Linked DNA regions of Drosophila melanogaster. The protein of the gene in region 2 interacts with the protein of the main gene of each other region in a pairwise test. Each region holds a gene or a part of one and is shown on either strand. Other genes may lie near its edges.

Region 1 (10,098 bases), on a different chromosome or scaffold from region 2:
TCCAAATGGATTCCGTGGAAGCCGTTTTGCCTCTTTTAGCCAAATGATGCGTAGGCCATAAAACCGAAAGGCCAACGATGGAGTCTTGGCCATTTGCTTAGGCGCTGGGCGTGGCTCCAGCCCCATACTCACCCAATAATAAATATACACTGACAGATTTGTGTTTAATACTTAAGCGAATTTATAATTTAATATTTACCTTTAAACTTAACATGCAAGTTATTTTAAAGCTCGAAAACATTTTAATATTTTTGGAGTTGTTTTAAATATTTTTAATATTATATAACTTGAAGTGCACTATTTTCCTTTGTGCCTGAAACAATTTTTGATGGCGCCCATAAATTTTCGAGGCTCTTTTCAAGCCTACGAATGCGAGTTGAAATGTCGCATCATAAATAAACGGGCATCGTTTTCAGGAGTCAGGTGATGAAGGCATCGGAATGCCGATAAAAAAGTGGTAAGGGTTGGTTTTTGCCAATGGGAAGTGGCCTCCAAATAAACCGCAATGCAATTTGGTCCAAAAGAAGTTAATAAAATTTCGACAAGCGGAAAGGGGACTTCCGTTGATATTTCATGAGTTTCCTGGGTAGACTGATGCTTATGAGATCAATGGCGTAGGCAATATTAAAAAGGGGTTTTAATAAGATCTTTTCTCAACTTTAAGTTACCTTTCATATTTCTGGTTCATATGCTTCAGCATCTCGATGAGGTCTGAAATGGTTATTAATTGCCCCAAAACCTTTGCCACCTGCCGTCTCGCTTCCCCATTTCGCGCTGTCCCTTTCGGGCGGCTATTCATTTTCGGAGGCTGCGCCATTTTGGCTTGGAAAATTTATAAACGTAATTGAGATGCCTTCGCCGCAGCGCATTTTCCCCACCCAGCACTTCCCAACACCCCCCTTATTTCTCGCCACCCAACTGGCCGCACGTAAAATGCATTAACTGCTGCTTCTGGCCTCGTCCTGGTCCCGGATCAGGATCCGTATCCGGATCCGGTTACAGTTACGGGTTTTCACTCCTGGCAAAAGTCCGAGGCACTCGCAATTTGGTTTTCGGAAAATAAGCAATTTGTAAATTGAAAACGGTCGTTTCAGGGGCCAGCGAGGGGGTTTTTTTGGGGGGGGGGCGAAACTGCAGTTACATGCGGCCATTTACTACGTGGGCGTTGGCCAGGGGGCGTGGCAGGCTAGAACTGGCTTCGCGGAAGCTGGAAATTAATTATTTGCCATTAGGGCTAAGTAGATGATATAAAAAGTGGCAGCAAAGCGTGCTCCAAAAGGGGCAGTGGGTGTGGAAGGCGGAGGGCTGGAAAAAACGTGAAGTGGGGTTGGGGGGGGGTAAATGGATGGCAGACTGGAGATTGTCCTGCTATTGAGGCGGTTTTCTGCCGGGTGGGGCTCAGCTCTGCAGGCAATTTAGACAGTCAAGTGCCCATATAAATTACATAAATTTCACCCAGGAACTGCCGGGCACCGAGAAAATGGTGGAAAAGGGATAATAAATAAGTACTTTAGTTCAAATTGTAGAAAGATATTAGAAGATTAAGAAAGCCAAGGCGTGCTATTTGCTTAAGTTATTAATAAGCGCATCTCTAAGTAATTTTTGTAAAATTATAACAAATAGCTCATAACAACAAAGCTTATCACATAACTGATAACTTCGCCAATATTGACAATTTTATGACAAGCAAACTGTTATAAAATCATCCACCCAAAGTGGAAAATGCAACACGAGTAGTTTCCGTGGATGGAAAAATCTTTTTTCCTCCTCCGAATCGCTGGAAACTCACCTGCCAAAGGAAGAGGCGTTAGAAGCCGAGTGCCACGCCTTCTCTCTGGCGTCCAAAACGAATCCCAGACTCATCTATTATGAAGTAGGTAATTCCACTAAAACGAACCAACCAAGAAAAGCGCCGAAAATGTAGAGGGAGTGGAAAATAAACACAATCAAAGAGGACAAAACAAAATTTAAGCGCAAAATGAAATGAAATTCGGATTGGAAATGAAACTAAAATACAAACTAATGATGGAGGAACGTAGTGGGGCCGCAATCCAGGAGCCTGTGGGTGGCAAAGGAAGTAAGCTAACAATAGACAAAGTCATAAATCAGGGCGCCAATTTGCAGGCCTGACAGGCTACCCCCAAATGAAAGGAGCGGCAGGCGAGGGGAGAGCGTAGGAGAGCCAGAAGAAACTGAATAGTTATCCTGCACGCCCAAAATGCCAAATTCAGAACACTTTAAAAAATATATTCTCAAATGATGATCAAGTTTTTACAATTGGATTATGATAATAAAATAGAAAGCAGTTGCAAAATATTATAAAAAATATTACATGTTTTTTTTAGAATTTGAAGAGCATCTACTCATACTATTTCAAAGATTGTAAAGCAAAGTATTTTATTTCGCTTGATATTTATATAATGTTTTACCTAGGAATAAGAACATTTCAGGTAAGATTTGTGATGGAATTACGGCAGTGCATAAAAGGGGAAGAATAGGGACTGCGGAAGGCCACAAATTCATTTCGTAATTGTGGCCAAAGAGCCATGTGGCAAGAAGGGGGGGTGGGGTTGAGAGAGGGGTCAGAGGTCGAGGGGCGAAGGACAGCTAGAGGAACCCATTCAGGCAAACAATAATAAATGGGATCCAAGATGGCGTCACTGGGATTGGGAATTGCTATTATACGGGGTGTTTTCTTCTTTGGGGGAGGAAACAGAAAAGCCATAACAATGATGCTCCATAATAAATTAACTGAAATTCACTTAGTTATTTATTTTTTGCCCAAGATGAGAGATTAATCTAAATAAATTGAGTTGTCAAGTGGGGCACAAAGAAAAGAAAAAGTTCGTGGGGGGTGGGGAGGGGTAAAAAATGATATGCCAAATAAATACCAACGGTGAGTAATCGTTTTCTTATTGTTACTGCTGTAGTATCCTCTTCCTCTTCCCCGAAGAGCACCAAAGCGATTCCCCGAAGAAGGCGATTCTTCTTCCCGTATCGCCCATTTCTTCCCGCATCCCCCACCCCCCTGCCCCACACACATTCACCACACTTAACGATGAAAATCCAATTTAAGGCTGCCTCAGTTGTTTGCGCTCTCCTTCCCCCCCTTGGGGCTAGTCCCGTCTCTTTCGCTCGCTCTCTCCTTGCCACCTAAATAAAGTGTAATAAAATAAAGTAGATAGGGATAAGAGTAGATAGGGATATTAGGAACACGAGAGCCCCTTCAACGTTTCTGTTTTTGTTTTTGCAGCTCTCCATGCCGAAAATTCAATTTCCACAATGAAAATGCGCGAGAAAATTGTCTTACATGCCGGAGAAAGAGCAAAAGAGAGAGGGAGTGAGGGGGTTGGGTGAGCGAGCGAGATGGGTATATGTCTCGAAACAACTGCGCTTTGGTTTGCTGGCTGCGCGGCGCATGCGCGAGCGAAAATAACGGGAAATGGCAAAGGCGGCGCTTAGGGGCATCATCCCCATTCCTCCTCCTCCATCTCTTTCCCACCCGCAGCCATCTTTCTGCCGGCGCAGATCTAATTTGCAGCCGACTGCGCTGTCGACGTTGCGACTGCGGCAAGCACCGTTAGATCATTCGCATTCTGACGTTTCACGCGGTCGGTTGAACACTATCCACACTACTATATATATGTCATATAGATCTTACTAAATCCCCCGAAAAAATACGTATTACCCGTCTGGATTAAATGACAATTTTTTAATCTCTAAAAGGAAACTTTTCCGTCGGCAAAACGGTGCTGCGAACAAGGCTGGAAAAACTCAAAACTCCTCATAGACATCCAGCTCCTTCAAGTGCTAAACCTACGTGTGTGTTTGTTCTTAACCCAAAACTAACTACTCTTTGCGGCCTATTACCTCTGAGATTGAGCGTGTAATTTGTAGAGGAATCCTTAACATTGCCCAACTTCCTTTGTGATTCGCCCACGTATCCTTGTTGAAAACTTTTTGCAAAACTTCCTGGCAAGTGTTTAGACTTGTTTAGCTCGGGGAAACTTTCGCACCTTTGTCTTGCGTGTTCGTTCGTTCTGTGAAAATTGCGAAAAAGTTAAACTCAAACAGAGCTCAGCGCCAAAAAGTCAAAAAAACAAGAGCGACAAGGGATTTTCTTCTGTCACACGCTTGAAGTATTGCTGCCAAAATTTTCACGGACGGTAATAAGGTAATATCTCTTATGCACTCATTTGATTTATAACAAAGTCGGAAATTCCTTTAGAAAAGAATTATTATTAACGGGTTTTGGAACGTTATGATCGAATTGTTTGTTATCCTCAAGCAACTGATTCAAAAGATAATCCTCAACTTCCCATTCAAATCGCAGCACACCGTGCGCTCATAATTTATTTAGACGCTTTTAATTTGCATTAAGGAAATTTCCTAATGAGTTTCAGTGTGATAAGAATCTCGGCCTTCGAGAGTCCGGAGTCCTGGAGTGTGTGTTTTTGTGAGCCAGACCCGAAGTGTCTGGCAAAAGTGTTTGTGCCGATGCCTTTCCTGTGAGAAATCGCACAAAACTCGTCAAGCACTTGAAGTGCAAATGTGAAAGAAGCGTGGATTGGAGGCGAAAAAAGAATTAAAACCAAAATTGGTGTATGCATAAAGGATTCGGCAGCAAGGATCCAAAAGGAGATTGCCCCCGAAAACAGCAAGGGATGGGGTATTTCGGTTGAAAACTCGCCGCTTAATTGAAGACAGACCAAAAGTTGATCACTCCGCAAATGCAGTTTGAATAATTGATGGTAATTAAGAGAGGGAAAAAAAGAGGAGACAGCTCGTGGATTCCGATTCTCCATGTGCGCAACGGAGATGGAGCAAGGGTACAAAATCAATGGCAAATAATTCGCCAAAGAGCAAACCAAACAAAAAAAAAAAGAAGTGGGGAAAACGAAGTTTCAAATTAAATTGATCAACCGCAAATTAATTGGCAGCCATGCAAACGTTCAACGCTCCACTGGATGCCACGCCCACGCAAGAGGGCGGTGGGTGGCACACAGGGTTGGGAAGTCTGACTGGATGGATCCACATAGGAGTCAATTGGAGTTGACGAACGGTTTTTCCATTCGTCGCCAAGTTTTGTTCGATTCGTTCAACTCAATTAGGGAAGCATGGGTGCAAAAAAGGGGCAGTGAAATGGGCGCTGAATGGGGGGGTTAAAAAGGGGGCTGGTGCGATAGGGCCGCATACAAATAAAATACAATTTGGCATATTTAAATTAGCAAATGGAATTACCGCAGAGAACGTTAGTCGAAGGAGGTTAGTTCGGCCATGTTTATTGATTGCTTGATTGAATTGGGCAACGAATTGGTGAATGCTCCAAATTGATGGATAGATTGGAGTCCACACATTCTCGCCGAGGCTTTCCATATGCAAATGAGACATGTCACCGTACCACTAGTTTCAAAAAGATATTTAACCATCTAAATATTAACTTATTGTAATATATTAATATATTTATAATGAATAATTCGACAATTAGAACTGATTATCTGTATATAGCATATTCATTTGATTTCGTCATCACACTCTTAGCAAATTTCATAGCCCACTTTAATTCATCCCCTGTGTTTCTCAATCACTTAACGACCCCCCACAAAGCTTAATAAATATATGGTGCCAACACCTCCCATACCCTAACCAACTGAAATGCACAAAACAATTTGCTTTAATTAAACAGAAAATTCAATCAAAATATTTATAAAACAAGAAGACCAAGTCAGTAGGGGTGATCAACGGATTTTCCTCCCCATGCGGGCGCCCCGAAGATGACGATATACCATACATATATGTATTTATGTATGTATATCAAGTATATATAATTGAAAGGGTTAGCTTTCGGAATCGGCTCTGTTTGGCTTTCGAGTTTGTATAAGCTGGCGGCACTTGGACACGAAAAACTGGCGGGGGTGCAACACGGCTGCCTAATTCAATTTACGCTCATTTTTTGCAGTGCAGCATTCGGGCGCTGATTCGCTGGTGGGTGGCTCTCCGGCCAAATGCACTGCATCATTTCGGTCCGATTTACACTGAGGCTCTGATTCCCTGATTCTAGGCGCGAGCCAATTGACACAATCAAATTCGAACCTCGCAAATTCGCTTAATGCGCCGCGAGACAAAAACAAGAGCAGCAAAAAAATATGCAAAAAAAAAAAGGAAAACGCTCAACCAAAACTGCAATCAAGAGGGATACTTAGATGGGGGCATATGCAAATGGTTTGGCTAGACAGTGGAGATTCCAAAAACATGAAAGTGTAACAACTTGTATGTATTTCATTTAAATATTAGATAGATCATTGAGTAGATAGATCATAACTCTCAGCTACTGTGATATGAATATTATATTGAAAAATCCTTTCCGCACCTGGAAGCTCTACTGTATCCATCATATCACAGCCCACTCCAAGTTGGATCATCAGTGGCAGACTGCGCCAGTTTAGTTTGATTACGCCGGCCGGACAGGCAGACATTTCTAAAAACGGATGCACTTTACTTCGGTGGCAAAAGTGATAACCTCATCGCTGGACGGCCAGTTTACCGCCACCCACTTCCACCTCCTCCTCCTCCTCCCATTACCATATCATCTCACCTCAGTGGGAAATTATCGCGCTCTCGGTTTGGGGCAACAACAAAAACAAAAAAAACTAGGAAAACTAGAGCTAAACGAGTGTGTGGGTGGGCGGTAGGCAATTTCGCAAATGCGTTTAAGTGGCTCTAATGCCAGCGGGACGGGGCTTTGGAGCAGGGATGCGCACGTGGATATGCCCATGGATGTGATATCCACAAGCGGAGGCACTGCAGCAGTCTGTTTGCGAATTATCCCACTTTCCAGCTGCACTGCACTCTTGCGAATCTGTGTGTTTCTGCGTCTCGTCGCGATTTGGCGAACCGAGATTCGAGTGGCCGATAAGTCCATTAGTGCAACTGGCCCTGGGAATGAAAGCAGGTCGGTGGTGGGTTTGCATCTGACCTTCAAGAGGCGGCAAAAGTGCAGGAAAAAATTCCAAAAATATGTCTGTCTTCTGACCTTCTGAATATGGTATTTTATACATATTTGAATGACACGTAGAAAATTATAATGAAAGTTATCTGTTCTTATTCCATTATCAAAATGCTGACCATATATGTTTTAACTGACCATTCTGTGCCCCTCTGATGATCCCCTTTTGGTCGCCCATTGCTCATCGCTTCTGGGTGTTGCACTCGCTGATTGACTTGTGTTTCCATTTTTAATTTGGTTAATTCAAATTAATCAAGCGACAGTTGATAATTCCGGATGCTCGCGCGGGTATTTTTTTTTCGCTGGCGCAGCGAAGTGCATTTGTTGCATGGAAAGTGCATTGGCATTGGCGTCCAGACTCATCCATATTCATGTGCATCCAATGTTGTTGGGCTTTCCGTTGTCCAGACGCATTGCATTTCCCACTTTGTTGTTTGCTCAATTAATGCAATTGCTCGTTTTGTCTCCACGCCGTTGTTGTTGTCATTCGTGACATTATTAATTTATATTTATATTACTTTTTATAGCTGCAGCTGTTGCATAATGCCCTCAGCATTTGTCGCTTCTGCCGCTGCAGCAAATTGCATTATATTCTGATGCGTTTTAATTAATTTTGAGTTAATTTCGTATTTTATTTTGTGCACTTGTGAAGAGGCCTATGGAAATAAATAAATTCGAAATCAGCGTGATTGCAATTAAAAATACAATATTTTGGGGATATAATTCATTTACAATCTGCAAGATGACTATATTTTCTACAAGCATTAAAAAAGTGGTTAGGCATCACTATAAACAATAAAATTCAATCCTGACTGAAAAAGAGTTTAAGAGTCATTTAACAGAGTGGTTCAATGGCCCTTTTCCGAACGATTTTAGACCTTTGAAGCTGGCCCCGCCTGCATCCCTCCGTACATCTAATGCAATTTGGCGAACACTGCATCCACATCCGCTGCTGTGCTCCCCCCACCCAAAGTCCCCTCCAAATCGTAATCCTCCCGCTCTTATTGAATTTCCCCGTTTTTGGCGACGGCTCGTGGCAGAAACTAGCGCAAGCTTCCATTACTAAGCCCATGTCCGAGGACCGACTGGACAACAAAGGCTTAGCACACAGATTTCCACCAATCTGCAGGCCCTTCACCAGCCCCATCCCTCCGTTTAGCATTTCCCATCCGTTCTGCTGCACTGTGGAAAACTAACTAAAGCTGTTGCGCTACCCGAATTTCGTTAAACATTTTATGGAGTGCACATATGGTGATCAATGTATCCGGCTCGAAGGACCAACACTAGAAACGACACATTTTTCAATAAGGCATTTATTAAATTTTAAAATATTTCAAAACGACAGGACTTACATGGGATTTTCCCATGTGCATCTCGTTTTCACTTGGCGTTTTAGGGAGCGCAGTCCAATCGAAATCGTTGCGCTGTTTAGTGCGCACTTAATTGAATTTCGCGTGTGCTGCTCCAACGTCCACACACAGATACCCACGCACACACTCGCCAGCCAGCACCCTCACACAGATTCACACTTGGACACAGCGAGTTGTGTTGCATTGTCTAGGCCACAAACATTGCCAAGTGCATTTCGTGCAATTGGATAATTGCATTTGGCTTGGCGTCGCCAGTTGCCGGCTGCCAGCGGCAGTTGCCACACCAAATGTAATTGCAGCAGCAACAGCAACACCTGCGACAACTCCACTTTCCCGGTGTGGGGGAATTCGCAGGTGATGACAATTAGCAGGGTCAGCCCAAAAGTAGACACTTCAAGTGGAGTAGGAAACGGTCAGTGAATTAAAGACAACTTCTGGCAATGAAAGAATACAATATTACAATATTTTATATAGAAAACTGTATAATTTATTAGGTAGCTTACAGTGTAGCCAAATAAAATTTTTAATGTTACCATTTACCATTTTAATAAACTGAATCCCCGCTGTCAAGTATTCATCGATGTTATCTCAGTTCAAGCTTCTTTTAGAGAGTTCGTTTTTTCGATCCTCTATTCGAGATGCTTTCGACTTCGCTTTCTTCCGAACCATTATTCCAATAGTCCTCAATTTCACTTTCTTCCCAATCTCCGTTTCCGAAGCTTTCGATACCCCAATTTATATAACCCTTGCATTTGAGCTCGCACTCATCTTTGGCTCGAAAGTAATTTCCGCCCACTGTGCAACCCTTTGCTCTAAACTTTTTGCATCGGTTTTCTTCGGTTGCAAAAGTAAATCCTTTGATTATCTGATCGCAATTTCCATCCACAATTGGCTTATTGCCACAATCGGCTGAAAAAAGTTCGGAAATCACATTGGAGATCTTAAGTTAGTTCAATACTAACCATTCGATTGGGCAAGTACGTAGCTTATTAGAAAAGTTATGACCACGAACTTCGTCTCCATTGCTCACCTTTCAAACGACTGAAAAATTTCCACACACAGTAAGCAACTTAAATCTCACTTTGCCTCAAACTGAACTATGTATGTTACTTTTCTATGTTTATATTACCATAAATTAGCGAAAGTCAAGAGCTATAAAATACTATAAAATGTTAAGTGTGTAAGATTTTTACTATTATCAATATAGTTTATTGGTTCAAAATCCGGCCCAACTCATTAGGCTTAAGATCATCTGCAGAAACTGCGACACCGTTCGACTGAAGAATTCAATGACTCCGCTTTGAGCTGGCTTCCTGGTGTCCTTGCACTTCGCATTGCACGCATCCCTGCTACGGAAAAAGTTTCCAGTTACCTTACAGGCCATCGCCCGGAACTTCTTGCAATTATTTTTTCGAACTTCATAGGTATACCCTTTAATTTTATGCCCACAATTTCCGACAACACTCGGATCAGACCTGCATATGGCTAAGAAGTAGGAGTTTCCATAAGTCGAACTGAATATTTATTAGTTAAAATGACACTTACGTTCCTTTTGGCCAAGACAAATGGCACTTAAGGTACCTATTAGAAGAACCGCAGAGAGTAATTTCATTTCAAGTGTTGCTTTCAGCTGCTCACCAATGACTGAAAACTGTAACTGAAGGCATTGTGGGGATATAGACCCCATTAGATTCGGCATTAAAAATATGAAAATGTAATTTG
Region 2 (9,788 bases):
ACGATGGTGTGATCAGCAGAGACGAGCTGCTCTCCATCCTGCACATGATGGTCGGGGCGAACATTAGCCAGGACCAGTTGGTCAGCATTGCGGAGAGGACGATCCTGGAGGCGGACCTGTGCTGCCAGGGCAAGATCTCGTTCGAGGACTTCTGCAAAGCTCTGGACCGCACCGACGTGGATCAGAAGATGTCCATACGGTTTCTCAACTAGGCTAGCTGGATGCGGCAATCACGAGGAAAGAGCGACCTTCTTAGTCAGTGTGTACCAAATAGTTTAGGATGCAGTTAGTCGAGAGGCATTCCGGCGGGTTACTGAAAACTCTAATGATTTGAAAGCAGTGGTTGCTATTCTTATTATACCAGTTGTGTTTTCCAACCATTTAGAAGTTTCAATTTAATGAATGAAAATGAAAGTGTCGCAAAGTTTTTTAAACCTGAGTAATTTGCCCAAAGCTTATCGAAGATATTTCATTCAAGTTAAACAAAAAATGCATATGTTTGATCACGGGTGCTAGAGAAATACAGAAAAATATAACCAATTGCTTGGTATCTAAAAGTTAAATGCGTCCGGAAATTTGATCAAATATTTATGATAAAAATATAAATAAATCTTTTGCTGTCTTATATTACAAAAAAATAATTTTTACAAATCTTGTAGGTTTCAGGAACCCGTCGGATTTACTTGTATTAATAGTTGTTATGAAGAATGAAAGAGATGCTCATTTCATTTTGTTAATGCCTTGTTTTTATAATTACAAACTCATTCCGCTCAACGTAAATTCTAATTCAGCTGCTTACGAATAAAAGCATCGCGGATTAACACACTTATTGTTGAACATAATTTGAATAGTTTATTGCGTTATAAGACGATCAATTGGAATAAGTGGTTGTATATTCGTAATTTCATTGCCTGGACCATTGATTCCAGGTGTCGTTCGCCTTCTTCGACTTCGCCAGGGAAGCAAGCGCCTGAAACTAGAGCCAGAGTCGATTTATGTGGTGGTGGACACAGCCAGCTTCTTGAGGTGCTCCATGAACAGCTGCAGCGAAACGTCATCCGTGAGCACTGGAGCCCCGCCATCCTGTCGAGATAATGTCCGGAAAATTAGTCATGCGATGGGTGGGTGGGATCGTGCCAAGTGGGGAGGGGAGGATGAATGAAAAAGGGATACAAGCACCTAGAAGGGTCCAACACCAAAAGCCACTTATATATAAATCATGTTTGAAATTATTAAAAACAATATGAAAAAATAGGAACAGACAAAATCTTTGCTTAGATTAAGCCGTGTGGGGTTGGCCATCTTAGATTTATTGCAAAATCCAAAACACTTATTTTGGACTTATAGCTATCAAGAGCAAAGGACATATCCAATTTCCAAAGATTTTTTACCCGCCCCTTAAATTTCAAATATCCACCTTTCCACCAGTTTAAAAGTTGAAAATTAAACAAATATGTACTACCGTGACTTGACCGATGGGCGCCTGCGATTGACAAAGGAGCGGTTACGGATACGGGTACGGATTATACAATGAGAGAAACAAAACCAACATAAAACGAGATTGAGATTTCGATTGAGATTAAATTTTCGATGACGCCAAATGGAGCGCTGCAAAGATCAATCAAATGTGGCCAGTTGATGGCGCTGGCTGCGAGACTCACCTGCCCGTAGGCGTACATGTTGTTGTGCGTCTGCGAGGGATTGACCTTGGACAGCAGGAAGCGGGCCTGGGATCCGCCGTGCTCCGTATCGATGTAGCGAGGCATGGGGAAGCGCGTCTGAAGAATCTCTTGCGCGTCGTCCACCGGTGCTTGCAGCAGCTGCTTGAAGTTCTCGTACTCTGGCATGTCCTGGTATTTGAGGGCTCTCCACTGGGCGATGGTCTCGCCGTGGTAAATCAGAATCTGAAAGAACGTGTCCATCAGGAGGATGCGATCCGCCTGGATGGAAGCCGTATCGAGGAGGACCGGTTCTGGAGGGCCGTTGAACGAGTAGCTGTAGAGAATAGGCTGGATCATGATCAGCGATTGGGTGAGGTCCTCGCGCATTAGCATGTGTCGATAGAATGTGGTCTCGTCGGGCGAGTTGTTGAAGACCTGCAGGAACTGCGAGCGGCGCAGGTGGTACATGAATTGCGGGAATAGGCTGAAGTTTTGCGACAGCCTGAAGCTGTTGGGATCGTCCTTTGAGTACTCGCCGAACTTTTGGCACTGTAAAAGGAAAGCATTTACAATACTAATTAATTGGGCACGAGTAATTTTGCACATTGAAAACTTACCAGACGAATCAACTGACGATCGACCCAGCGCAGAATGTCGGGTCCTTCGTCAGTCTCCGCACGATAGACGACCATACGGGCCATCAGAACTGCGGCGGCCTCCTGATCGAAGCCAGCGCTGATGTGGTGCACGTTCGAGGTGGCATCGGCCCAACTGAAAAACAAACAGATTGAACCACGTAAGTAAACTCTGGGCTGATTTATGCCAACACATACTTTCTGGCCAGTGTGGTAACTCGGATTCGCCGCTGTCCACTTGGGTGCTGGTACTGCGTAATGAACTGTATGCAGCCACGCCCGCCCTGCGGAATGGGGGCTGCATGCTGGTTGACCACCTCAAAGAAGTAGGCTACGGTGGAGCTGGGATTCAATGTGCACAGCTTCCACTGCACCGTGTTGCCCATGCCGATCTCCACATCCGACACCGACGGGCTCTTCACATTCAGCGACACACACGAGCCGATGCCACCGGAGATCTTCAACTCGCGCGAGCACTTCACCTCCAGCGTGGCATTGAAGGCCATCTTCAAGTCGTTGCGACCATCACGTGCGAAGACGCGTTGGAATGTCTGCTTGAAGAGCGATGAGTTGAACGAATCGCCCATGACCATGTGGCCGCCAGTGGAGTTGCATAGCTGCTTCATCTCCAGCAGTCCGGTTTGGTCCAGGGCACACGAGTATATGTCGACACTATGCCCGTTGGTGGCTGCCCGCAATGCCAAAGCATCATAGTGTTTGATAGCCTTCTTCATAAACCGCACGTTGTCCTTGTGGATGTCGTGATGCGAACGAATCGGGTGCTTCAGCTCGTCGTCGACCACCTGGCCGGGGCCCTGGGAGCAAGGGCCACCCACGAAGGTCATAATGCGACCGCCCGTATTGGGATAAGTGCACTCCAACAGGCCCACCGCAATAGATAGGGCGGCACCAGTGGAGCGCAGGTAACGCTTGCCCTGCGGCACCGGCCAAGGATCGCGTTGCAACTCGCTAAGCAGATCGCCCAGCGCCGCGTCGCACTGGCCGATCGGTTGCAAGAAGCGATGGGCGGGCGGCACAGGGGCCGCCGCTCCAGCCGGCTGGCCGGGCAGGTGCTGCTGTTGCTGCGGCCCCGGAGCCGCTCCACGCCCAATTCCGAGCATATCCTGCACCTGCTTGGCAGTCAGGTCCTTGGTACCACGAAACACATAGCTCTTAGAGCAGCCTTCCGCGCCCAGCTCGTGCACCTGTATCATTTTTCCGAAGGTTATCAGACCCACGAGAGCGTTGGTTGGCAGCAGACTTAGCGACATTTGCAACGAATCCTTGAGGGCGTCCAGCTCCTCCTCGTCCATGCAGGTGTCAACCAGGAAAATGAAGACGGGCGGCATGGTGGGGGCCCGTGTAATAGTATACTCAATAGTGCTGAATCCCGGAATCAGCTCCGCTGGTTGGTGCTGCTCGGAAATGGCAGCATATTGAGGGGGAAACTGGAATAATGACTGTCATAAACTGCCGCAGAGAGTCTAAAGATCACCATTGAGCTCACCGGATTGCGCTGAAAACAGAAGTTGCACACCCACAACTTAGCACGGTAGTCCACCTGGCACAGTGGATTCAGGATGGCCCTGCAGTTGCTGCGAGTGCACAAGACCGGCTCATATTGAATAGGCGGTAGGTCGGGGCGCTCCTTCAAAGGCTGGTAAAGACAAGCTAGGGGCACCACCAGCCGACTGGCTTCGATGCGACTTGAGGGCCACACATTCCACGTCAGCCGCACTCCGTCGCGGTCCTCGTTCTGCTGGATGAACTCCTCGTAGGTGGTCATCGCCGGAACACTTAAATGTAATACTTAAATCGGAAAAACCTCTGTTAGACCTCTGCCAATTGGAAAAATCGGTCGGTCAGGCCACGTCACGGATTGACAGCGAGTCGTGACACCTTTCGTGCTGGCGACGGCCAAAATACTCACGCGAAAGTAAACAAATTCGCGAGATGAGTCTTTAAGAGGCTCTTCAAATCAAAGCACTCACTCTGGAAACAATTTATACAAACGTACAAAACGTAGAAACCTAGACTACGAACTATTACAGAATTTTAAGTGCAAACGTTGCATGTTAGGGAAGACAGTTTTCAAGCGATACTATCGCATGCGCCCCATGCGATTGAATGAATGTTTTAATATGAGAAAAAAAGGGTGAAAATAAATATGTTTTGAAAATGATAAATAAAACAAGGTTCGCCCATAATTTTTTCAGTTAATTTTCTTAATGATATATATTGTTATTCAAGAAGTATATATAATATAAATAAATATAAATCGTATTCCTAGAAAAGCCCCTTATCGTTTTTCTTATCGCCCCAACTAAATTTTAACATTAAGTTTTTACCCAACACCCCATGTATCGATTGCTATCGATGGCCAAACTATCGCACCGTGGAGTGCATCCCTGGTGCAGCTGTTTACTCGGCATTGTGTGTGTGTGCGTGTATTTTTTAGAGTTGAGTTGTTTCTAAGATGGCGACGAAAAAAACGCGTCTTCTTATGTGAAAAATGCAATCATAACAACTCGAGTTTTCTGCTAATAAATGTGCGCTAGTTTGGAACAGGACCATTGAAAAACAGTGCTAAGCGTGTGCCGAGTGTTTTGCATGTGAAAGTTTTGGTGCGGTAGCGTAGTGAAAATGGCCACAAATATGTATCGAGTCGGAGGTGAGAAAAATTTTCGCGTACTCGCTTTTCTATCATCTTTCGTTATCGGCGCCGCCGTTTCACGGTGTGCGTGTTCGCTTCTGCATATGTGTGTGTGTGTCCAATGTGTGCGTATGCGTGTGTGTTGTGTCTGAGGAGGCTTTCCAACAATAACGAAAGTGCATTTTAATTGCCGAAAACCCTTTAGTGGGAGACCCGACGCACGTGTATGTGTGTGTGTGTGCGTGTATTATCAATCTCAAGAACAATCCGTCGAAAAGGAGAGACCTTTTCTATTTTTTTTAACTTCTTTGAAGGAGCCCCCTGCTGCTCTTGTGTCGCAGCTGCAGCAAGTGTTTTCGACGTGTTCCAACCGATAAGCATTAACTTATGCCCTAAGTGTATGCGTGTGTGTGTATTCTAGGGCTGGGGAACTGAATTGCATTTGCATTTGGATTTGGTTTTGCCGAATTGTGATCTCTCCAGCGTGTGTGTTTGTTTGACTATGTGCGAAAGTGTATCTCACTTTTGGGCTCACCGCCCACCCGCCTTTTTGTGTTTTCATATGCTAATGAGCTTTTGAGCATCTCCCCCCATCTCACGCCTCCCACTCCTCACCCTGCCTGACGCACTTTCTGTTAGCCATCTCGCTCGCGCTCGAGCGGTGACGTTATTGTGTTGTCTTCACCTGATTTTCGCAAGTGTGTGGGTGTGTGTGCTCTTTCGAAATGCAAATAAGCTCGGTCGGATACGCAAGCTTTCAATTAACGGAATCAAAATAAATATTAATGGCATATATACTTGTCGAATTATCTGCTCTTTATCGCCGAGAACTTTTTGTCTCCATCGGCGTTTTTTGTTAGCCGTTTTTAATGGCCACGCACACAGTTACACACCTTCGGCAATGCTTTCTCGCTGCCTCCACACTTTCTTTTTCATCTCTCTTCATCTATCTACCCATCTATCTGTGTATCTGCATCCCAAAATGTAGCAGAAGTGCACACGACGTTTGTATCTATGTATGTATGTACATACAGATAAACGGAATTTCTTTTATTTTTTATAATAGTCAACGACAGGTTCCGCTGCAGTTGTTGTAGGTATAAAGTTATATGGATGGATAGACCCATATGTATTTAATTGCGCTTTAGCTGGTAGTGGTGGTCGCACTTAGGTGGATGCGTGTATAGGTGTATGTGTGCGCTTACCTGTGACGTATTAATGGAGTTGCAGCCCCCCACCCTTCCATGCCCTTTTCTGACCCTTTTGCATCAGCCACCTCAAAAACTGTTTTTTTTTCAGACTATGTTTACGTTGAGACAACGCCGAACAGTCCCTACTTAATACGACGCATCGAGGAGCTGAACAAAAACCAAACCGGCAATGTGGAAGCGAAGGTCATGTGCTTCTACCGCCGCCGGGATCTGCCCAATCCGCTCGTGCAATTGGCCGACAAACACCAACGTGAGTAGAGAAACCCTGTTCCCTCGAAACCGCATCCATATCTTGCGTTACGTTACCTCTAAGTGTGTATATTTATTGTCAACAAAGTGAGGTTATGTTGCCAAGAGTCGTTGTCGTGGCCTTCAAACAAGTTAAGAGTTAAAACCTGACGACCAGATCTGCTAAGCACATGCCCACCACAAAACAACAACAAAATGAACCCGTAAGGGGCACCACTGTGTGCGCTGTGTCAAGGCATGTGGAAAGCGAAGCCACCCACCGAACCACCCAACCTCCCACAGTGCCACCCCATCCCGCAATCCTAGTCAAACTTCCTGAGCAACAAGAACCGCAATGACAACAACTGTGAGGGCGGAGCGAAAACGGATTTCGTCCAGCATCCGACTCATCCACATAAACAGGCAGTGGAACCTTCAAACAACCTGCCACATCAACTGGCAGTGTAACCACTCTACTTCGAACCAGAAGCACCATTGATCTACGTTCCAGTAGCGCAATTTGAATTATTCGTGTCGCAAATTAGAAAAAGCATTTAGCAAATAGTCTAAAAAGATATTGGTCATAGAAACTAGGTGTTTTGGGAACTGGTAATGAACATAAACACGCATCGTGGTGCGGAAATAGCCTGTAAATTATTAAGTTCAACCTTAGGCATACATATGTACATACGTTAAGGTGCCACCGGTTTGCTCTAATGATGCTCGACTGTAATGAGCTGGGCTGCACTATACTACCCGTAATGCGGTTGTTGCTGTTTTCGGTTGCTGCTAGGCGGCGCCGACGTCAATGTGAATGTGATACTTGGTTCGGCTGTAGGTAGACTACAGTAGTAGTCTGTCTACCTCTGAAAAGCTGCCACACATACCCATGCCCAACCCAACCCCAAACCCACTGACACTGCTGCTCTGTGTGCACGAAAATGTTCAAGTCAGAAGTTGGGATCTGGAGGGGATTGGAATGGAGCAGTGGAGTGGAGTGAAGCTATGGCGATGTGGCACACGCAGGAAGGCGCGCTTTGCATTTGTGTATACATACACACAGCGCCTTCATCCACTTCCTCTTCGCCGTTCCAAAAAACTCACAAAAACCATGCCCAATTGGGTTGAATTTTTGGCTTTGGCCACCCACTCGAATTCGATACGTGACCGTCGCGAAAATGCGTTTTCCGTGGGTCTGACCTGGCAGAGCAACCCACCCCAATCCACCACCCCATTCTACCTCCTACACTCCCACAAGACCAACAATGCCCATTAACACAGCCCCTTTCGGCCCCAACATCATCGGACCACTGTCATCTTGCTTTATTTTTAATATAAGTTATCCATTACGCTCCACGATCCAGTTTTTATTTGCGTGCGTCGCCTTTTCGCAGGCCACTCGCTAATCAGGCGCAGAAAACTAGCGTAAAAATATACATTTGAGGCACAAGTGTGCCGCCATTCCAACCCCAAGCTACGGACTTGATGCAAGTATCTTTGAAAGGTGGTTTTCCGAACTCCAGAAACACTTCAAAACCTTTAAAATAAAATGATTACTATATTTTATACTTCTGTTTTACTTTCTGTTAGTTTCTGTTCTGTTTGCCACTAGGAAAATGGTATTTTGTTAAGCTTAGAATGAAATATCTAAGTACTAGCCAGTACTTACGATCATTAGCATAACATTATATTTACTATTTTAATTATTGTTAAATGTGATAGTACATAGCTCACAGCCTAAAATAACCACTCTCAGCGGCTAATCACATTGTCAATAGCAGACCTTGAAGTTTGCCGGGAATTGGAAAGGGTATAGAAAGCAGATACGCTCGAATGGCAAACAAATCCCGCAGCGGCGCACCCACCCACTTGTGTGTCCTATCTATGGCCACCAAATAACGCCCAAGCCTTTACCCCTCCACCCACCACCCACCGCCATCCACCATCCTCCGCCCCTTTTTGATTGCTCTCGCTTCGTCTTCGAAACAAGCGCAAAATACAAATACACAAATACACGTACCCAGCTTCGGCTCTTTTCTGGGACTCAGGCCATGCACCCACGCCCGTGTGTCCGCCGAGGAGGTGTGGTGGTGCTGTCCACCGCCCACCTCACCTTCCTCCCCTTCCGCCCTTTGCGAAATGCCAAGCGTATATTTTTTAATCAGCCCAGCGAACTTCCAGGAAATTCATGAGGGTTACTTTCGGATTTCACAAAACACAAATTCCGGGAAAGCTGAGATGTATATTATATAGATAACGTTTAGATTCAAGTAGCGTCACTTTATTAAAATAGGGACATACATACATGTATGACCTTTCTTTGAATTCGCTTAAACATTTTCAATTGTATTGCTTGTATAAAAAAAAAATAATATTATTGATAATATATTTGAAGTATAGGAAAGTTGGACAAATTGTAAAACAACCAGGAATTTACTTTTTGCTTGAAGGGTTCTTTGCTCATCTTTTAAATTTGTGTATCCTAGGGAGTTGTTTGGTCTTTTGGTACATTAGTGCGATTTCATATCATTTATGCTTGGTGAGTCCTTATCGAGAAGGAATATATATGGTCGTCATATATTTGTTTGTTCGTATTACCATCCTGCATCCTTAGTTCCTTTGCCTATGACAACGACTCTTAAAAGATTATTTCTCACCTGTCTTCGCATTCAGGTGTCTCTTTCAAACTTATTAACTAAAATGCTTTAACTTATAAACATGATCTCTGTCGATGAACGCATTTCCCCAAAACGCACCAAATCATACTCCTAACCATCTTAAATCTAAAATAACGCATCGCATCAGTGGCCACCGCCGAGGACTCACCGTTGGCGACCAAGCTGAAGAAGACCTGGCTCCGCACACCCGTAAGCGAGGAGCAGGCGGCGCAGGCTGTGCTCGATCCCTCAATAGGTACCACCTCCAGATGATTACTCAAATACTATCTCTGCCACTTCCGTAGACCCGTAGACCCAGACTCAGACTTATGCCCTCATTTTGTATGTTTTGCACTTTATGTAGAGCACGATGGTAATTTCAGTAGTGTAGTAACCTATCTAAGTTGATAATCTTTATGCATAGTTCTATTCTGGTTAATGGGATCATAATTTATTTTTAAATTCAATATACCTGATATGGAACACCTGATTTGTATTATTATATTTATTATATTTATATTTATTATATTTAAATTTTATTTCATTTTACTTTAAAAGTTAACTCTAGCTTAAATAATCAGTCACCATCTTAAAATTCCGAACCGAATGAAAGAATCTAATGATTTGGCTTATTCTTTTAGCTGCCCTGGATGAGGAGCGCACCAGTCCAACGCAAACGTCTGGCGGAGGAGGCTCAGCCACCGGGAACTCCGGCAGCAACAGCAGCGGCACTTCCAACAACA
Region 3 (10,799 bases), on a different chromosome or scaffold from region 2:
TACAGTTTTATTAAAAGATAATATATCAAAGTCAGATTTTAGCTGTTTTGAGTTTAACATCTTATACAGAAATTATTGGGAGTAATTTATTTGGATTTAATCGGAAATGCGACAAGTGGTGTCCCCAATTATGGAGGATACGCAGCTGATTTTTATGCTCTCTAGCGCTTTGAGTACGCCCCACATTTGGGAGTTCTCGCGCTGAAGGGGTTTATCTAATCTGTGACGAGGGGCGAGACCGAAAAGCGGACGGCAGGCTACTGCCCACCTGTAAATCAGGCAGGTGATAAGCATAATCGCGGGCGACGTGTTGTAGGTAGGGGAATGGGAGCACATATATAAGAGTGTATATATAGTCGTCTACCTTCTGCCAGGACATCCTCCACGGTGACCGTGACGCGTCCCACTGTGAAGACCTTGCCCACGAAGCTGTTCTTCTCGTTCGAGGACGACGAGCTGCTGCTGTTGGGCGGATTCTCCAGTCGAGAGTTCTCATTGCGCTCGAACTTAGACAGGATTTTCTTCATTTTCCCCCGATTTTCACTAGAAAATGTTTACTGCCCCAGCAGCACAACACACACACACACACTCGCGAGCACACACGCACACTAGCTAACACGGTCTTAATTGCCTGCGCGTAGGTGTTTTTGGCAATTTTTAATTTTGCGAGGGCGGCTGACGGTGGGCGGGGCGTCGGTGCCGCTGGCCAATTAATCCACTTTCGAGTCGTATCGGCTAGCTGAATAAAGCTATTCTGCGCACTTTGTGTTTTTGCATGCACACACACAATGCAGTGGAAAAAGAAAGTTGTTCGATTTTCCTGCTGCTCTCGAGTTGTTGGGCCAGTGTGACCAGGGCGCTTTGCTGCAGTCAGATGCGCAACCCGCGGCTGGTGCAGCCGCCTATCGATATATAGATAAGTTGGTTGCAATCTCGAAATTCTGAAAACAAGGAAATCCCCGTTTACAAAATAGGTTTTATGATAACAATTTTTTGTAATTTGATCCAATTTAAAAAGATAATATGGTTCTACTTTCAATAAAACATATAGCTACAGTTGCATTAAACTATCGCGCAGTTTTAATTAGCTATGCTGCCAACATCGTGTTTCCCTTATCAATATGTTATCGATTGTGCTGGTGCAATTGTAAACAAGCATCTCTAGCAAATGGTCGCTAAATTCGCAAAATTGTAGTTTGCTGGGATAACAATGATAAATACGGCCAAGTACTTTGCTCTTCTAGAGAGTTTAAGGTTTAGTAAAGCTCTAGGTAAATTGGTTAACATCATATAATAATTGTAGTATCCCTAATACTAATATTTCGACAGCAAATACGGCGAATAACTCAGGGACTGCCGAAGCCTTGGAAATCAACCTGCGAATTTTGGAAAAATATGCTAAACTCGAGATTGGTCAGCAATTGCATGAGCTGTGCCTGGAATATCAGTTAACAGACGATCACGAATCTAGTATTGATCCCGATTCGGATCGTACTATATGCTATATAATAAGATTGCAACATGTGCTACATTCGATCATGAGGAACATTAATTTCCACAGCGACGCCAAGGAGGATCTTATTTCGGTAGCGCACCTGAAATTGTGTATCCAGGCTTCCCAAGAATTATCATATTACTCGCTTCGATGCCAGCTACATGAGGATTTCTACAAGTCGCCCATCTTTTGTGAGGCTCAGGGGAAAATCAAAGCTAACTTTTCATTGATGCTTCTAAGCATTCAGTTCTTTATTAATCTACTGCATATTCGACAATACCACATAGCCAACTCGATGGAGCTGGTGCAAAGGGATCTACTGGCGGCCATTGTGAGTCTACGTGTGCAGCAAGACTCTCCACTGCTGGATAAGGCTATAGCCTACCTCTGGCAATATGAATCCAAAGCAGATTTCTTTCGCAACATCTTGCTTTTTAAAGCTACGACTCTCTGCCCAACTCTGGCCCAATTATTGCACCGTCAACTCTTAGGAAAGCTTCACTTACCCCAAGGATTTGCTAGTCTTGTTGAGGCCCTGCATCAAAATCCCAATGTGAATTCTTCCAGAAATGCGGAAATTGTGGCTAGTATTGTGGCCAGAAAAGGATTTTCTCAGTTAGCGCAAGAGAAGATGGTTCTCCAGGTGCTAGAATATTGTAAGTTCTATCTGCAGAATGCGGACAAAATGTGCGCCGGTGTCCTATCGCTCAGAAGACTTTACGATTTAAGTGATACAAATCAAAAGCTGATAAAAGAAATATTATTCAAACACTGGGAAACGCTTTGTAACCCAGAAGACATTATTAATGGCCTTATCTTAATGGATCACCAGGAACTGTGCAATCGCATTCTCTTATGGCAGCATCTCTTTTGTTCTTCAACCGTAGCTTGCTTACCCAGTAATCTACTCGTTCCCTACCTTCCTTTGCTGCTCCAACTCTACGATGGCCTTCCAATGGAATTACCGGCGTCATCGCAGATTTCTGCCATTATTTTGCGTTGTCTGGACAACAGAGAAATGAAAAACGAATTACCTGCGATACTCCAGAAGCTGTTTAAATGGGAAATTGAGAAGGAACCTCCTTGGAAGTGTTTAAACCCACGCATTATAATCCTGCCTTCCATGAACACAACTCAAATTCAGGTTAAAGTAGCTCACAAAGATCATCTAGCAGATCACGATATGGGCAGAATATTGCCCGGTCTACTCACATCAAGCTCTCATCATTCCCTCACCTGCAAAGTTTTCCTCTCTCTTCTGGGCTTCATAGCTAAACAGATAAATGATAAATCTTCAGCCAGCGTAGATTTTATTTCATCAGAAGCAGAGCTCAAAGACTTTCTGCACTCCAAATATCAACTGAAGCTAGATTTGCTCATTGCTTTAAACCAAATGGTAGCCCACCAACCATTAAGAGCTCAGCTATCACAACATACCAAGGAGCTTCTACATATACTAAAAGACTTGCTTGTCCACCGATCTAGAGAGCAAGATACCACGGATCAGATCCTACTTCTCGTTCTAAACCTCTTGCAGGAAATTCTTGAGGGCAGTGAGAATATTCAACTTTCAGAGGCCTGTAAGGAACTGAAAGAACAATTGCACCTGTTGGGTACTCGATCTTCCAACCCTCTTATCCAGCAATCTGTAAAATCATTGCTTACAATAATTCACGGCGCATGGCGACCAAGTGAGGCTGTTAAAATACAACCTTTTCAAAGAGCTCGGTCCTTGATAGAGGAAAAACAATCCCACATGCAAGTGTATGGAATTCAGATGATGATTGATTTGCTGAAAAAAAGAGATCCTGCTACCTTAGCGCAGGGTCAACTTATCATAGCGTTAGCCCTGACCACTCTCAAGGATAAGGAATCCTACACCTTCTTAAATTGTGTTCGGCTCTTTGTGTCGCTTGTTCATGTGATGGAGTCCGATGTGCTGGACAAATTGAGTGATGAGTACCTATCAGAGACGGCTCACTTAGACTACCGCCTCGTAGTGGGTGAAGCTATTCTGAAAGTCGCTCAGGAGTTGGGTAAGCAATGTTCTACACAGCTAAGAATAACTCCTAAACTTTCATACTAATCCCATCCAGGTCCTCTTTGCTTTCGATACAAGGCTGTTCTTCTCAACTGCTTCATGTACGGCTCCCGGTCTCCTGTTCACGAATTCCGGATGTCAGCCTTTGCCAATCTTGCCCAGCTTTGTCGCCTTTTGGCCTTTCAAGTGCAGAACTTCTTCCACGAGTTACTCCAACTTGTTAATAGCGAATTAACCACCGGAGGATATGTTCCCTCTAAGCGTGCAGCAGTCCTGGTCTTAGCTGAACTATTAAACGGCATGGAGAACCTTCTGGATTACCAGGAAATGTTACTCCCCATTTATCGCCTTTTAAAAGCGATTGAAGCGGATGAATCCTGTGATCCTCAAATGCGTCAGCATGCTGCAAACGGTCTGAAAATTTTAAACAAAAAGTGCACAAAACTGATACAATCTGCCTTGGAGGAGAAATCATTACAGAAGCAGATTAAGGTGTTGGGCATTAAGGACGATGATTCACCTCAAAGAAGAAACCGACATATACTGGAACTGAATTAAAGGCTATCTTAGAAACCTACACAAGTTTTAATTTTGTTTTATACACAATAGATCAATATTACAGTTTCGAAAAGAAATGCGATAGTGGCGAATCAGTACAGACATTACTGACATAAAGGCAGAACAGAAAATAGGACTTAGTTTTGGACTTTGGTTACATTATTTGGGATAGAGGCATCACTTGCCGATAGAGAACTCATTCTCGATCTTGTCTGCGATCATCTTGGCAATGGCCAAGCTACTAGTAGCGCCCGGCGATGGGGCGTTTCTGCAGTGAAGCACTCGCTTGGCTAGCGCTCCCGATCCTTGTCCGCGATCGAAAACAAAATCGTCCACCAGATTGCCATCCAGATCCATTGCTTGGGCACGTACTCCAGCGGGACCACGCTGGATATCGTACTCCGTAATATCCGGGATGTACTTCTGCAACGCCTTGATCTGCAGGTTAATGAACCACGATTTGGACATCTCGCTGAGTCCGAAACCGATGTACTTGCTCGCCATCTTTACGAAGCCCGGATAGCGCAGGGCGTCGAAAAGCTCGAAAAGATTAATGTCACCCCAGCTGGAAGAAGTGAAGTGTCAGACAAGTTTAAATATGAGCTCTAAGAAGACTTACGTGTAACCTTCGCGTTTCAGAGCCAGAACGGCATTTGGTCCCAGCCAGATAGATCCGTCCATTCGCGGCGTAAAGTGAACTCCCAGGAAGGGGAAACGTGGATCCGGCACCGGATAAATATTACCCTTGACCATATGCTGTTTTTCCTTGGTCAGCAGCAGATACTCTCCACGGAAAGGCACGATGCGGGGGTCTCTGGGGCATCCAGTCTTCTCAGCCAGCAGGTCGGATTGCAAACCGCCACAGGTTAATACGTTCTTGGTACGAACCGTTTGACCGGGCTTAGCGCCATGGATGGTCACTGGGTAGTCGGTGCCCTCCTTGGTCTCGGTAAACTTGCTGACATTGAAGTCCAGGTAGATATCACCACCGCACTGTTTGAAATCCTGACCATAATGCTCGGTAACCAATCCCCAGTCAACGATACCAGTGTGCGGACTGTGGAGCGCCATCACTCCCTGGCAGTAGGGTTCGATCTCCTGAATCTCGCTGCCTTCGATCATTCGCAGATCCGGTACGTTGTTGGCAATGCCACGCTTCTCCAAATCCTTCAGCAGCTTCACTTCTTTCTCATCCGTGGCCACAATTAGCTTCCCGGTTTTCTTGTACGGGATCTTTTTTTCATCCAGATAAGCGTAGGCCAAATGCATGCCCTCCACGCAAAGGCGGGCTTTCAGGGTTCCAGGCTTATAGTAGATGCCAGCATGGATGACGCCGGAGTTGTGGCCGCTCTGGTGCTTTGCCAGCTTGCACTCCTTCTCCAGGACAGCCACTTTGAGGGATGGATGGCGCAGGACAATCTCCCGGGCAGATGCGGCGCCGACGATGCCACCACCAACGACAACCAGATCATAATCTCTGAGGGAATACAAAACATATCAGCTAACAGCCTCAAAAATTAAATAAACTTAAGACTTCTAAAGTTTTTAAAAGTTAGAAAGATGTTTGTATATCCGTTAGAGTAAAGAGTGTGCGGGCACGTTTTTGATTAGGATCATCAGTCAAGTCGATCTAGCCATATCAATATGTTCATCGACTGTCAGACCGCAAGAACGTCGAGATCTTGGGAACTAATAAGTAAGATAAAGGCTGCAGATTGCAGTGAAAAGACTATGCTATGCAATTAAGAATACAAAAGTAAATAGAATATACATTGCTTAACTAAACATGATTTTAAAAGCGCATTCTAAATGAAAAGAAGCTTACTTAGCTCATTTGGAACACCTAAATGATATTCTGCAAACAGTGAAAAGATTCTTAGGATCGGAACACCCCCGAAAATGAGAGAACCCTATCGTAATCTCAAGAGACTTACCCGCAGCTCGACGAGCTGTGCTGCGATCTTTTGTGGGTCGCTGTGGATTCGTTGGGCGCGGCCACGCCCACATTGAGTAGGCTACGCCGAAGTCCCTGTACCAGCAGTCGCACCTGAGCCATTTCTCTTTCTTTTATGCTTTCACCACCCGCGCACGCACGTAGAATTTAGATTATTTACCAACCCGAAAAGAAAGACCTTGCTTGACCTTGCCTTCTCCTCCGCCAACTTGTGCGTACAGCGCGCTTTCGAGCGAATCGACAGACTGAAGCCCGTGGAAGTTTTCCGTGGGGCGAGAGAAAATAAATATGCTCACGGGCCGAGCATCTGGGCGATTTGTGGGGCCGAGGGGCGATCATAAACGCGCTAATTGATAAGTGTGACGGATTATTTTTGAAAGGGGGTGGTTGGGTAAGGACGTGTGTGTCAGCTGTTCGGTTTGTTGATAAGATTTAATGTGCCCAGCTGCCATTTTGCAAATTTTCTGTAATCTAACAATATTAAAATTTTTATTTCATTTTAAATATTTCAGGTTATACGATCATGCTGATTACTCGACTAAAAAGTATTTACAAGAAACAAACATATAATTTTAACCCTAAATTTGCTTTTATTCGATACGGAATCCCATTATATTTGGTCGTATTTGATAGCAAACACAAATGAATAAAGTTTCGTTATTAATTCAGAACTGCAAGAAAAAAGACCGCTATCAACAATATGTGAGACGCATTTTCCAACACTGAACACTTCAGAAGCAAAACAAAACCAGCTGATTTAGCAAACAACAGCTAGCTCACAGATGTAAACAACAGAAATTTGCAAATTATTACAAATTATTGTACCATAAATACCTTAAGATGCCCGCCCACTGCGCCGTGATAAATTGCAGCCATAAGTATGTGCACGCGGGCAGCATTTCATTTCACAGGTAAGTGAGTTGATTTTCAATTGACAAGATTACACTATAGCTTCTATTCTCCCAAAGATTTCCATTCAAACGGAAGGATCTTCTACAGAAATGGAAGGAATTTACCCAGAGGAGTGCTCAGTGGATGCCCTCAAAATGGAGTGCGCTGTGCAGTCGGCACTTTGGTGATGAGGACTTTAATTGCAGCAATAATCGGAAAACGCTTAAGAAAAATGCTGTGCCATCAATTAGGGTTTCGGAAGATGACTCCATGAGTGGGCACTTGGAACAGGTGTCCCCAAGCAATAGGCCAACGCACAAGCAAACTCTTTCTAGTGCCGCCGAATCAGCAGCAACAGGTGTTAAAGCCACTTGCCGCTTTTGTGGTTCCTCGGCCATCAATTGCTCCTCGTTTGACAAGAGTTTTGAGCTCTTTGGCATGATCCAGAAGTGCTTTCCTACGCTACAGATTCTTCAGGACGACACCTTGCCCAAGGAAATATGCCAGGAGTGCTGCCTCCAATTGGAGCGCTTTTCCCAGTTCATCGATGTGGTGATGTTGGCGCAGAGTGAATTGCAAAGAAAATACCGCCGACAACTGAAAATCAAACAGGAACCCTTGGTTCGTGTGAAACAGGAGGCCTGCGAGAGCTTGGACAATCTTTTTCCTGATGAACTGGACATGGGTTTGGAGCAGGACGATGGCTGCGATCAGGAAGAAACTGAACAAAAGTTTCAGTTCTGCGAGTTCCCTATGCTAAATGCCCAAGACATTATCAACAATTGTGATATCATGGAGATAATCAATCTGGACGATCCGTTTATCAATATTCCAGACGATGCGGATGTGGGACAGTCGGAGAGACTACAGCCTGGAAGAACGGCTAATGAAATGCTGCAAAACGAACTCCTAACCGAAGAGCACAATTATGCGAAGGAGGAGTGGCAACTACCCCCGCATCAGTACAAAACGGAAAAGGTGGAGGGAACGGATGCTGCGCCAGACGCAGCTCCTCCGCCTGCTGATCCCCCTCCTCTTCAGGATAATATAGACCCTCCCTCGGCCCCCGAACCGCGCTCATGCAAGCCCATTGTGACCAATGTAAGCCAGATACCTAACCCAATGATCTGCGAGCTGCTGCCACAGCCTGCTCCTCCCACGTCGATCAAACCCAACATCGTGGTACTTAACGATAGTGTGGTCGAATCCTCAGCGGCTTTTCGGCTTCACAACTGCACTTTGTGCACTGCCAAATTTATAACAATAGATAGCTTAAATCAGCATTATGCACACAGTCACAGTAATTCCACTCCCATGGTTAGTGTTCCTCCGATGAATATATGCCTTCCCAGCTTAACCATGAACCCTCCAATGAAAATGGAAAGCAACAGAGGTCTTGTGGCCACTGAACAATCCGAATACTGGCCGTTGGAGTGGCATAATAGTCCTGTATCCAAGCAACCTAGGAAAAAGATTGATATACTAGATATGCAGAGTAGTTTCCTGCATCACAAAGACCTTATACCGACAGCCACTCAACTGTCAGCACCCGCACCTGATCCTCAACTGGTTGCAGTGACTGCTAGCTACGCTAAACTGGCTAACAGGTATCGTAAGTTGCAGCTGAAATGCAAAAAACTGAAGTCACCAAGGAAGGTGCACAGAAAAACCTATGTGTGCCGGATGTGCAGGAAGGGATTTTCAAAGTTTAAGAACTTACACCACCACCGTCGTCAGAAAGCACACTTTGTAAAGTTAATACCCAATTTTTCAGGACGCTGTTCTGGTTGCCTAAAGTTTTTTCGATCCCGCTTGGGTCTTCGCCAGCATATGCGATACATATGTCAATCGTTGTCGCTCAAAAACCATCGGCGCCTTCAGAGCTTCAAGTGTCGCCACTGCCAGGCCATCGCCTTTGCCCACTGGCGCCTGTATCGTCGTCATGAACTCAATTGCAGGCCCAAAAAATCCAAAACTAAGGTGCAGACGGCAATGAATTCGAAAAAGAAAGTTACGCCCACCCAAGTATTTGAGTGTAATATTTGTAAAAAATCATTCGGTTCGCTCAACGGACTACGCCAGCATAACATCACCCACTCGACGGAGCGGCAACACAAGTGCGGCATCTGTGAGCGGGTCTTCAAGCGACGCAACGGATTGTCTCAACACATTAAGGGCTACCACCTGCAGCTCAAGCCGCATGAGTGTCCGGTTTGCCAGCATCGCTACGCCCTGAAATGCGATATGCTGAGGTGCAGGCATTCCCTGCGAAAAGGTCCAGCTGCCGGGGAGTAACAGGAAGCCCTGGAGATGACTCACGATTGGACAAGGAAATGGTATTTACTCAAGCAAATGCTATAATCTTGGAGGTAAAACCAATTTGTTTTCTAAAAAACAATGTGCGATAACACGCCACTACAATTTTCTTTCCACAGATGATCTGAATCTCGATGCACTAAATGCATTAAGCCTAGTCACTCTATGGGGTACTTAGTTGGTGGTCTTCCAGTACGGCACGCAAGGTGATGAAGGGTTCGCAGCGGGAATGAAATTGGCGCTAGTCAAGGTTACTTACAATAAGTAATTTAACCTAATTAAACCGACGCTTCATTGAGCAGGAACGAGGTTTCGCAAATCGGAACAACATTTTTGAAAAGGTTGAAAGGGGGAAAACTAAAGGCGATCTTAAATATTTTGTATTATATACATTTATTTATTTAAATTGCAGTATAAGTTTGTAGTAAACGTTCTCTAAAAGTACGTGTATTTTCTTGTGTATTCGTATTTAACGCATTAGTATTGCTTAAATCGCTAACTTTAAACGTGAAATACTGAATCGAAACTTATTGTTTTACTTTAGGCTGATCCAAGCAAAAAACTAAGATTGACTGCCAACATAGGATTAGTATATACAAAGAAGGTTGAATTTCACAAGTTTATTTGCTTAATATAACTATCAATTTTATTTTTAACAAAACTAAAACGAAGAACATAAAAATGGCACTAAAAGTACAAAATCATAAAGTAAAAAGCATACATTTTGGAGAACCCTCAAGGATAAACGTAATTCAACAATGAAATTTTGCGCAACACCAAACAATAAAGTAGTTCTTAATCTAAAACATTTTAAACTTAACTAAAGGTTAACTATAAATACGCTTTTGGTATGATCGTTATTAATGTACGTATGTATGCATATGTCCCTGGCTAGAGTGGCTCAGTTTGGTTGGTTTTAAAAAAATATATATTAGAAATTGAACGTTATATTTTGTTACTTGATAAGTTGTGATGGGTACTTCAAAGATCCAAAACAAACATTAGTCAAAGATAACATTCAATTCCCAAGATGTTTTTGCCAGCAAATCGAGTTTTTATATGTATGGGGCGATAAGTATGAATATAATTAGAGTATGTGATGCTTGAAAAATGCTTGTACGAAGCGTATCCTCTTCTCCCGGGATTAGTTCCACATTCGATTAACCTACGCCAGATAATTACTCGCTAGACTAAGGGCGAACCTAAGTCCTCTACTGGAAGATCGCTGCCCGCTGCTGGAACTGCTGACGCCGCTGGGCCCGCTCCTCCTCCTCTCGCCGGCGCTCCTCCTGCTCCGCCCGAATCTCGTCGTGGAACTTGTTCGTCCGCAGCTGTTGCTCAATTTTCGCCTCGAAGAAGTTCTTGGCTCCGCTCACTCCCACCTGCTCCACATCGACCTCCGTGAGGCGGGCCAGCTGATTCAGCCCAGAATCGGAGTCCAGTTCCCCGGCCTGGGCCTTCCTGAAGATCAGCAAGAACTCTCGGAATGAAATCTTGCCATCGTTATCCTCGTCCACCTCGGCAATCATCTGCTTGAGTCCCAG

The links.
Region 1: the proteins of MTA1-like (region 2) and Drgx interact in a two-hybrid assay, tested with the Drosophila melanogaster proteins (one large-scale study listed by BioGRID).
Region 3: the proteins of MTA1-like (region 2) and CG10431 interact in a two-hybrid assay, tested with the Drosophila melanogaster proteins (one large-scale study listed by BioGRID).

Annotation. Positions count from the first base shown.
Region 1 is NT_033779.5:3,659,133-3,669,230, forward strand, and holds the start of Drgx (dorsal root ganglia homeobox), read left to right. Parts: upstream 1-3,612; 5' UTR 3,613-4,174; intron 4,175-8,844; exon of another isoform or gene 8,845-8,980; coding exon of another isoform or gene 8,981-9,285; intron 9,286-9,338; coding exon of another isoform or gene 9,339-9,399; exon of another isoform or gene 9,400-9,419; intron 9,420-9,558; exon of another isoform or gene 9,559-9,592; coding exon of another isoform or gene 9,593-9,861; intron 9,862-9,921; coding exon of another isoform or gene 9,922-9,988; exon of another isoform or gene 9,989-10,002; intron 10,003-10,098. Other genes in the region: Sfp24Ba (seminal fluid protein 24Ba), read right to left, coding at 8,981-9,285, 9,339-9,399; Sfp24Bd (seminal fluid protein 24Bd), read right to left, coding at 9,593-9,861, 9,922-9,988.
Region 2 is NT_033777.3:5,643,676-5,653,463, reverse strand, and holds the start of MTA1-like (metastasis associated 1-like), read left to right. Parts: upstream 1-4,725; 5' UTR 4,726-4,939; coding exon 4,940-4,967; intron 4,968-5,553; exon of another isoform or gene 5,554-6,193; coding exon of another isoform or gene 6,194-6,248; coding exon 6,249-6,410; intron 6,411-9,193; coding exon 9,194-9,301; intron 9,302-9,686; coding exon 9,687-9,788. Other genes in the region: elm (ethanol sensitive with low memory), read left to right, coding at 1-212; Sec23 (secretory 23), read right to left, coding at 994-1,083, 1,460-1,483, 1,662-2,210, 2,279-2,432, 2,495-3,744, 3,804-4,082.
Region 3 is NT_033779.5:18,967,889-18,978,687, forward strand, and holds CG10431 (uncharacterized protein), read left to right. Parts: upstream 1-6,821; 5' UTR 6,822-6,888; coding exon 6,889-6,959; intron 6,960-7,016; coding exon 7,017-9,234; 3' UTR 9,235-9,308; intron 9,309-9,374; 3' UTR 9,375-10,299; downstream 10,300-10,799. Other genes in the region: Nak (Numb-associated kinase), read right to left, coding at 365-527; Tango6 (transport and golgi organization 6), read left to right, coding at 1,211-1,271, 1,330-3,531, 3,592-4,094; L2HGDH (L-2-hydroxyglutarate dehydrogenase), read right to left, coding at 4,272-4,659, 4,714-5,571, 6,029-6,150; Swip-1 (Swiprosin-1), read right to left, coding at 10,467-10,799.